2 linked regions of the Drosophila melanogaster genome follow. The protein of the gene in region 1 interacts with the protein of each later gene in a pairwise test. Each region holds a gene or a part of one and is shown in the gene's direction. Other genes may lie near its edges. The genes, in order: CG15533 and CG12609.

Evidence for each region.
Region 2: the proteins of CG15533 (region 1) and CG12609 interact in a two-hybrid assay, tested with the Drosophila melanogaster proteins (one large-scale study listed by BioGRID).

The regions. Positions count from the first base shown.
Region 1 is NT_033777.3:30,426,780-30,432,073, forward strand, and holds CG15533 (uncharacterized protein), read left to right. Parts: upstream 1-2,040; 5' UTR 2,041-2,062; coding exon 2,063-3,099; intron 3,100-3,303; coding exon 3,304-4,024; intron 4,025-4,099; coding exon 4,100-4,249; intron 4,250-4,310; coding exon 4,311-4,481; 3' UTR 4,482-4,583; downstream 4,584-5,294. Other genes in the region: CG2218 (uncharacterized protein), read right to left, coding at 1-35, 357-1,061; CG15534 (uncharacterized protein), read left to right, coding at 5,285-5,294.
Region 2 is NC_004354.4:18,745,631-18,750,042, reverse strand, and holds CG12609 (uncharacterized protein), read left to right. Parts: upstream 1-1,736; 5' UTR 1,737-1,777; coding exon 1,778-2,752; 3' UTR 2,753-3,111; intron 3,112-3,168; 3' UTR 3,169-3,676; downstream 3,677-4,412.

The DNA.
Region 1 (5,294 bases):
ACCACTTTTCCAGATGGCAGCACGGTGGGGAAGATCTGAAGAGGCAATGGGAGAATTGATAAGGAGAGCTACAAAGTAAACAGTTCACAGAGCATCCTATTATCTTTATATTTAAGTGTTGTTGCGTTTCGGACATTATAATGCAATTCTCATTATGAAGAAAATGAATTCTTTACATGACTTCCGATATTTACCTTGTTTGGTTTTGATAAAGACATGATAATTGATTCATAAAGATTATAAAGAATTATGAATAATAAAACCGTGCAAAACGATTGATTTCATGAATTGACATGGGTATGTATTCAGTTGTACTACTACTTAAACATAAAAAGCTAGGATTTTCTGATATTTACCATTAGCTCCCAGGTGATGGAGTCGAGGAACTCTTCAGGAATAGAGAGGGTCGACTGGTCCCTGAGCTCTGGAACATTCCGCGGTGGTGATCTCTGCCCGGTGGGCGTTTGGGCCGCGTCCCTCTGGCCGTAGGGATCGCTTATCTCGCTCCAGATGGTCTTGACCAGCTCGCGATCGGCTTTGTCCAGCGAACGAGCGGGCAGTCCCCACATCTGAACTTTCCTCAGCACTGGAGGACACCTTTCCGTGGCCCGGATCACCACCTTGACGCTGTTTGTGCTGGCAAGGATCTTGTGGGCGGACTTGAAGAAGAACACCTTCTCGCTCTGCTCCGAGTTGGAGCTGCTCCGTGAGTTGTAGTCGCTCTGGTAGCAGAAGGTCACCGAGTCCACGCCACGCCCCAGATCGCGTACGAAGGCAACCCTTTCCCAGATACCATCGTGTCGTCCATGCAGCTCGAAGGCAGTGGATCGTAGGGCTCCGCAGGAGGGCCACAGCTTGATGACCTTCATGTCCACCGCCTTGGGGAAGTCGAATACGATCTCTATGGGCGGCTTGCAGACGGCGAAGCACATGAATCCACGCTCCAGCTGCTCGACGTCGTCGGCCACCAGATTGGCCGCAGTGTAGCCATCCTCGCAGACGGCATCGGTCTCTACGGAGGGCTTAAGCTTTGGGTTGAGGAAGTTGATCAGACTGCTCATCCTGGCTGCCCACTGTGCTATACTCTCGGCTGCTGTTATGTGGCTCTTCACGGCGTATATCTACTCTGTGCCCCACCTGCTCTTTATTCGCAATGAAAATGGCGTCACTTCTCGGGAATCTTTTGTTGTTGCGTCTGCCTGCGGAGGCTGCTAATCCTGCCTGGTAATCCCCTGCTAATCCCGCACTGGGTGCGCTCCTGCTCTCAGCCGATCCTGAACACTCACAGCCTGGCCTGGACTTCGGCTGGCATCTCACAACGCTGCTTCAATTGCAATTATCGCCCTGCCTCTTCGAATATTTATAAATCACTCGCTTGTGCAGTGTGACCATGCCCGGGCGGTAGTGGTGGTGCGACCAGTCAGATGGACTTCGCTCAGTACTCGCGTACGGTAACACCTATTCGCTTGGGCGGCAAAAATTGAATGAGTTAAAATATTTGTTTCAACGTATAATGCAAGCCTTTTCGAAATCTGTTTCGTTTCGAATGAAACAATGAAAAACACGATTGCTATGGTTGAGTTATATTCATTTACATTTTGAAAAAGTGTATACTTAATTTGATTTCTTGTTCAATAAGCAAAAACGATCTCAAGAACTTTGTTTATCATTTATACTTAAATTAGCAAAGCAGATATGATAAGGTTCATCAGTTTACACTATAGGCTCTGGCTTCTTTGAATCATAAAGTATCTAGTTAAAAAGGGAAAGTTATATCGAAATATGTAATATGACTTATTAATTGCCTATTTGTGGTGAATGGTCAAAAATGGTAATTTTTGCGATATGATTATTTAGAAATCTGCCCCACCGGAGGCAGATTGTGGCCACTTCTCATGCCAAAAATATAATCATATAAAAGTTCTACTATTCGAGATTAGGCTAATCTCTGCCATGAATGCGTTTTCCGGCCTGGTTAATGGGGTGGCCATTGGCTGAGAGATAACCGAAAGCTATAAATGGCCCCACACGTGGAAACTATGCTCCAGTTGCTCTGCGAACCATGAAAGCAATCGGAATCCTGCTGGCGATCGCCTTGACCTCCGGGTTCCTGGTGGTCTCCGCCGTAAACTTGCCGGGAGTGCCCGTGGACTTCGACCTGGACGACCACATCCTGTCCGCCATTGCAGACGACATAGCCGAGCGTCTGGCCAGGGAGTACATCACCTTCCTGAAGACCGGAGTGGAGACGGCGGAGTTCTTGAAGCTCACCAATCAGCTGGCCAAGTCGCACAGTGAGAAGGATATATTCACCAGGAACATGCCCGATCTAGAGCCCAGGGATAGCTTCTTTGCGTGCGTGGCCTGTCGCTCGGTGACGCGGGTTTTGATTCGCACCATTCGCGAGGAGGACGGCGAGCTCCACGGGGAGAATAGCTCCGTTCTGATGAAGGAATTCGCTATGGACGTGTGCCGCCGCTTGAATCTGCAAACGGAGGAGGTCTGCGAGGGATTGATCGATTCCAACCTGCCCTCCGTGGAGTACATCATGAGGAACTCCGAGAGTGATTCCCAGAGCTTCTGCTCCTTGTTCATGGAGTTTAACTTCTGTAACACCGGTACAAATCAAGATTACAATTGGACCTTGACTATAGACAATACTGGAGAGGCTTCGGCTGGCCCCAAGTCGGACACTCCCACCTTTCAGGACTCGGACATCAGGATCTGCCAGTTCTCCGACATTCACCATGATCCCTACTACACCCCCGGCAGCCTGGCCACTTGTGCGGAACCCATGTGCTGTCAGAGGAACAAGGAGACCACCGAGGGTACGTCGGATGCAGCTGGATACTGGGGCGACTACCGGGACTGCGATCTGCCTTGGCACGCCTTCGAGTCAGCCTTGGACAACGCGGTGGCCAACTCCAAGTGCGACTTCATTTACCAGACTGGCGACATAGTGGACCACATGGTGTGGGCCACTTCCGTGGAGAAGAACACCATGGTGCTGACCAAGGTCAGTGAGCGGCTAAACGCGGCCTTCGGAGATGTACCCGTATATCCCTGCATCGGAAACCACGAGCCTCATCCACTCAACCTGTAAGTAGGGGATCCTTAAAATCTAAATTTTGATATTTATAAATTGCATGAATTGGGATTCCTAATCTCAGATTATCCCGGATGTATAAGTGGACTAATAATCCTTATCTTTATTTTCGCATTGCATAGCACCCGATAATTTATTATGTTTTCAACTATTTTCAATTCATTCGCTTATCTATTTCGACTATTGGACTATTGCAGCTTCAGTCCCGAGGGCGTTCCAGATGAGATCAGCACCAAGTGGCTCTATGAGCACCTGTACAACGATTGGTCCAAGTGGCTGCCGGCTGAAACCAAGGAAACCATCCTTAAAGGAGGTTACTACACGGTGGTGCCCAGGAAGGGCTTCCGTATCATCGCTCTAAACAGCAACGATTGCTATACGGACAACTTCTGGTTGTATCACAGTGGCACGGACAAGATTCCCCAACTCCAGTGGTTCCACGATACCCTGTTGGAGGCCGAGAAGAACGGGGAGTATGTCCACGTGCTGACCCACATTCCTTCGGGCGATGGAACCTGCTGGTCCGTTTGGGCTCGGGAATTCAACCGCTGCGTATCCCGCTTCAGGTCCACAATCAGTGGCATTTTCACAGGACACTCGCACAAGGACGAGCTATTCGTTTACTACTCGGAGGATGAAGGACACCCCACCGCAGTGGCGTGGAACGGAGGTGCTGTTACCACCTACTCCAACAAGAACCCCAACTACCGAGAGTACGCCGTCAATCCCGAAACTTACACTGTGACCAACCACTGGACGTGGATTTACAACCTGACTGCTGCCAATCTGAAGCCAGATGAACAGCCCGAGTGGTTCCTGGAGTACGAGTTCATCAAGGAGTTCACGGAAGATATGAGTCCGGCCGGAATCAGCAAGCTGCTCGATGAGTTCGCCGAGAATCCCGAATTGATGAGAAAGGTAAGTTAATATCATCTGAAGAATATCATCTTTACGGTCACCATATCATATCATTAATACCCGTTTCATCTGTAGTACTGGCGCTACCGAGTGACCTCAGCAGATCCCCAGGTGAATGGAGGTTGTGATCGCAGCTGCTTGGCAGGATCTCTTTGCCGAGCTGCTGTGACCATCAATTCCGAGCGAGAACGCTGCGAGGAGCTGCGTGAGAAGTTGTTTGCCTCGGTAAGTTACTTTCTGGATAAATCTCTCGATCCACAACTAAGTGATGATTCCCTTCCCTCAGCTGGACAATGAGGAGAGCACATCGTCGTCGGGAAGCACTGAAGCCACCACCCCAAGTCCCAGCACCCCAGGGGGCAACGATGACAACGACGGTGGAGGATCCTCCACTTTGGGACTGCTCAGCGTTAGCTCCCTGCTGGCTATAGTCCTCTCCATCCGCCTAGCCTTGTAGTAATCCTCATTTGTACCCCCTAAGTTATATAAACCGAATGGATTCCATTCTAAAAGTAACCGCTCTCAAGTGGCAAATAGAAGTATGCGCTTATCCCTATCGAAACTAATCTGGATGATTTTTGTGGAGGGACTTTGTTTTTCAGCCGGCTGCCTTATCGCCTAATGGCGATTAGCGAAAATTAGCTTATTAAACCGTGCTGGCCATAAAACAAGCAGCTGGCTACAGTTTTTTTTTTGCCGAATATTGAACTACGGATAAGTGTAAGCACGTGCACACGATTCTTTTAGGTAATAATTTACGACACACCGATTATGGTCAGAATCGTGATCAAATGTCGATTATCGCGCCATGATCTGACTCACTAATGGAAACACTTAAAAAAAAACTCTGTAAAATGTATGATCTTACAAGCCTAATAACAACTTGTATTGTTACAATGTTATGAATGATATATGTAAGAAAACTACTTAATGGAATCTTAGGCTAACTCGAGGTCAGCTGTGTAAATACTACCGATTGGATAGATGCTTTCGATCTTCTTCATTTCACTATGAGTTTATAATCGTTTCATACATCTACTTTACAGACCGTAAATGTAATTAGTAGTTTAGCTGTCAGATATCATCCCTTTTGTAAAGTGGTCAAGCCAAAAGCAGTTAAAGAACTTCAGTTAGTATAGGCAGTTGACTGTGGAAATTTCGTTGTGCGATATCATCGCATTTGATAAGTGGAGGAGCTGATTGCGGTGATATGAGGCTATAAGTAAGGGGCTCGACTTTAATCCCTTAAGCAGTCTCGCCATGAAGTTGA
Region 2 (4,412 bases), on another chromosome or scaffold:
AGATGCCGTCATGAAATGTTAAAGCACATACTAGTCCATACATACACTGTGGAAAAAATTGGATTGAATAGCAAAAATAGTTCGATTTAAATAGAGAACGAGAGCCTATTAAATACTCAAGCCAAGAAAATGGTTTGAAAAACAAAGAAGATTTTCTTTGCATGATTATTGTAATTTAATTCCTTAGTAGTCATTATATTAGAGATTTCATAATCATTATATAATATAGTATTTCCAACTCAATTAAATTACGGCTCCTGGTTTTTGCACGTGTATTTTTCCGCCGCATTGAGCGACAAACTTTCTTCCAGCTGTGGGCAATTAGTGGAGTCCTTCTCAAAGCGATCAAATCAAATGCTGCGTGTTTTTCCCGTCTGATGGCAACCCCCTCCTCCAATTTCCATTCCCGTTCCCTATCGTGCCCGAAACTGTGTTGGTTTGTCCAATATTCATTGTTGAATTATGCAAACGTGCGATTCCCAACGCCAATCAGCCCTAATTACTCACGTTCGTTAGGCGGCACAATTGCAAAATGCGGAGCTTCAATTCCCTCCGGTGTTTAATTGGCACGCATTTTGTTTATTCAAATTCGGCGTAAAGTGCGTAATATTTGCATTTGACGAACAAGGCGTAGCGCCATGTCGCAATCTCTGGCATTCGCATTCCAATCCGTGGATATACCAGAGGCACAGCCAACCATCCATCCATCCATCCATTCAGCCGCGTCTGGGTGGCGAAATTAATTAAATACCCGTTCCACCCAATAGGGAATCCGGCCGCATTCGAGGAGTAGTCATTGGACACGCATCCTGCAGATGTCAATGGAAGCAGGAGCAGGATCAGAAGGTGGCCCAGAAGAAGGAGCAGGACGGCTTTACGTTGACGGATTTGGCCTGAGCTGCGATTTAATATCACTAAAGTGGCCCACCCATCATGTGAGTCGTAGAGATGTACTCATTCGACGGGTAAAAATAAAACTATTCGGGATAAAATATTTTACAACTAACTATTCCATTTCATAAACATGATGTTCTTAGAATTTGAGCGTATGCCGAAACTTTAAGGAATTACAACTATAACAAAATGCCTGACCTTTATCGGTTTTATCAAAAGATAAATGTTGTCACTCGCAAAGATTGCTAGAAATCGGATGATAAATTTCTGCCGAAAATTTGCAAAACACTAAGGAATTTTGGGAATTTATCGGCGAGATGCAGGGCAAGCTATACAAAAAAAAAAAAAAAAAAAAAGGATAAACCGGCAGCACTTGCGAGCTTCCTTCTGAGCTTTGTTGTCGTTGAAGTGCCATGTCCCTTCGTATATCCATGCCCCAGCCCACCACCACCCACTTACTTGTGAGTGCAAGCCGTGTCCTTTGTTGCAACTTTCATGAGACGCATTTGCCTCCGTCTGTTCCGTTGGCCCCTTCCACCTGCCAACTGGCGGGGCAACTATGCGGTTGCAACATTCTGTTGCCTTTTGAGCCGCCCATCCTGCCCGGAGCACAAATTATGCGGATGCACTGAAGCATGTGAGTGCTGACATCGAGCGGTTACGCATTCCTGGCCAGGCTCAGTCGCAGGCTAAACCTTTTGCTGCTAGCTTACCTGGTATCCAAGACGTCAGCATCCGTAATAACAGCTGACAGACTTTAAGAGCTAATATTTCAAGGTGGATTCAATCGATTCCCCCATGAAAGCAACCTGAGCAGGCCCCTGGATACACTTCGTTCATCCGGATAGACAAGCAATAGACACATCCACACAACAGCTCCAAAATGATGGAAATACAGCGTCTCGAGCGCCAGAAGCGTTTATTGGCCATGCGCCATGCTGCATCATCACTGCCTTCCAGTCAGGAGAAGGAATTCAATTTGCGCCTGGTGGACCTCTACAGGGAGCAGCCGTGCCTGTGGAAGATCACGCTGCCGGCGTACAAGGATGCGGACATGAAGCGCAGTTCATGGGAGAAGATTGCCAGCCAACTGGGCAGTCATCTTAGTGCCGAATTCATACGCTGCCGGATGCGCAACATGCGGTATCAACTTAATGTGTACAAACTCCAGATGATCGAGTATCAGATGACTTCCGGCAAGGGAAAACCGCCAGAGAAGCCCTACTACGTTGATCGATTTGCTTTCCTGGAGCAGGAAGATGGAGCTGAGGAGTCGGATAACCAACAATCTAACGCAAACGCCAAGAAACAAAATATTCCAAGATCCGAGAGGTTTGCGAAGCTTTGGTCGGACTTTAATTTGAAATCCATGACCAAAAGGGAATCCACTGATGCCAGCAGCAAGGAGAGCCATCGTTCCGGCCAGAGAATCGCCGATATGGTCAAGATGCGCATGGATGCGCAGGTTGGGCCACTGGCGTTCGACAGGCCGCGTCTGAAAATCCCAGATTTTAAGCAAAACATCATCTGGAAGCGGAATTTGGGCAATCGCTCGTCGGACACCTCCGTGGGAGATCTTTCAGAGACTTTGTCCACATTGCAGGCACGTCCTGGTGATTCCGTATCCAAGACCAAGATGAACCAGAAGGATCTGGACAGTGAGCAGCCGACGACCTCCAGGATGGCAAAATATGCTCTGGCCAACGATGGCCAGTCGGAGGATGAGGAGCTGTACAAAATGCATTGGAAGGTTCGCACGGGTCAAAGGTCATTACGTCCTGGACACGATCGCTGCCAGAAGTTGCCAACGCTATCGCTTCCTTCGAAGCCCGACGAACCCACTCCAGATATATTTTAGCCAACGTTTCTAACCAATGTTTCTAAATTGCTTTTCTTGTGTTAAGTTTAAAACAGGATTATGGACCACAGACAAGGGCAAGCTGGGAAAGTACTTCATTAGGGTAATTTACGATTCCAAAAAGCCAAGACATTCCTGAATCTTCATGCATTACAATAGTCAAGATAAATGAATACGCAGCAAATAAGCAGAGTGGGGACTAACATTAAGTAGTTAAAATATAGTACAAATTTTAGTCGATCATGCCAAATGAAATATGAAGAAAATATGAAATTATCTGGAGCAAAAGAAATGAACAGCAGTTAGGAGAGCAAAAATCAATGACCTTCTTTTCAACCTGCCCATCAAAACAGTCAAAAGTAAGTAAGCATAGAAAATATGAATGACTAGCTCTACCAAATATTCCTTTCCTTTAGATACACTTGCCATCCATTTGACCTATTGTGCCATTGACAACATGTCTGAATACACCGCAGCCACCTGTTTGACAATCCGAAGGACATTCACTTCGCCCCAATGCGTGTTGAGGGCTCCATTTCAAGTTTGATTAATTCTTGAGTCTGGCTGGGCAAATGAGGCGGAAAGATACGGCCCAAACTCACCGAGTCCGGCTATGATTTATGAATACTTCAGAACGATGATGACGAACACAGTCTGTATGCTAAAGCGAAGTTGCGAACTCTTGCCGCAAATCCAAAAACCACCGACGAAATTAGTTTTTGGCTGTCAAAGTAAATTCCGAAATTACTTCAAGAAATTACACAACGCACACAGTTTAACCCCACAGACACAACCGCCTGGCAAAAGGACTCATCCCCATCCGACATCCCTAAGCGCAAATTCCGACTTCCCCCCGATGCCCGATGCGTTGCTCATTAGCGTGAAAATTTAATTTAATTTCTTCCAATAAACCCCTTAAGTGCTCGCCTTATCTTTTCAATCGTTTCAATCCCCCGGCTTTTGCTCGCTAACTTTTGATTAATTGATTGATTAAATGAGTGACGAATATCCGCAAAATGGTACCACAACCGCAAAGACCGCAGAGATACATACTTCGTGGCGGTCAGGATGGGTATCTTCGATACATGTAATTACTGTTTAGATGACGACCCACTTCGGGGTAATTTGTATGTTAGTTACCATGGCAGAATCCACTTGTTTCGGCTCCGTTGGTCGTGCTGAATTCGTTGAATGTCCTTGTCCCAATGCTACACCCACCAGCGCCTTCGGTTCGTCCTTGGGCAAATGCAAAATGATGTGAAAATATGCAAACTGCGTGCGCGTTGTCGAAAACTGTGAGCACGTCCCGCCAGTCCGTCCACATCCCCGCATCCATCCATCCGTCCAGGAAGCAGCTCTACTCCTCTTGGCTTTCGCCCGGGTCATTAGCATTCACACGGCATTCGGTAAAGGGAGGAGGAGCCGCTGGGCCCCCGATTAGCGCTCGACATTGCTATTATGACTTAATTAAAAAATAATATTTTTGCATTTTATTATTTCCGCCTCTTCTTGGCAAATGGCCAGGGAATCGAGGAGCATGCTAGGTCACGGATAAGTATCTACAACAATGAACTACAGCAAATGCTATCTATGAATCTTGTAAGTAAATTTTGTGGTTTCTTCTGTTTGTTCTATTCTTCACCGAAAAAGTTTGATGAAC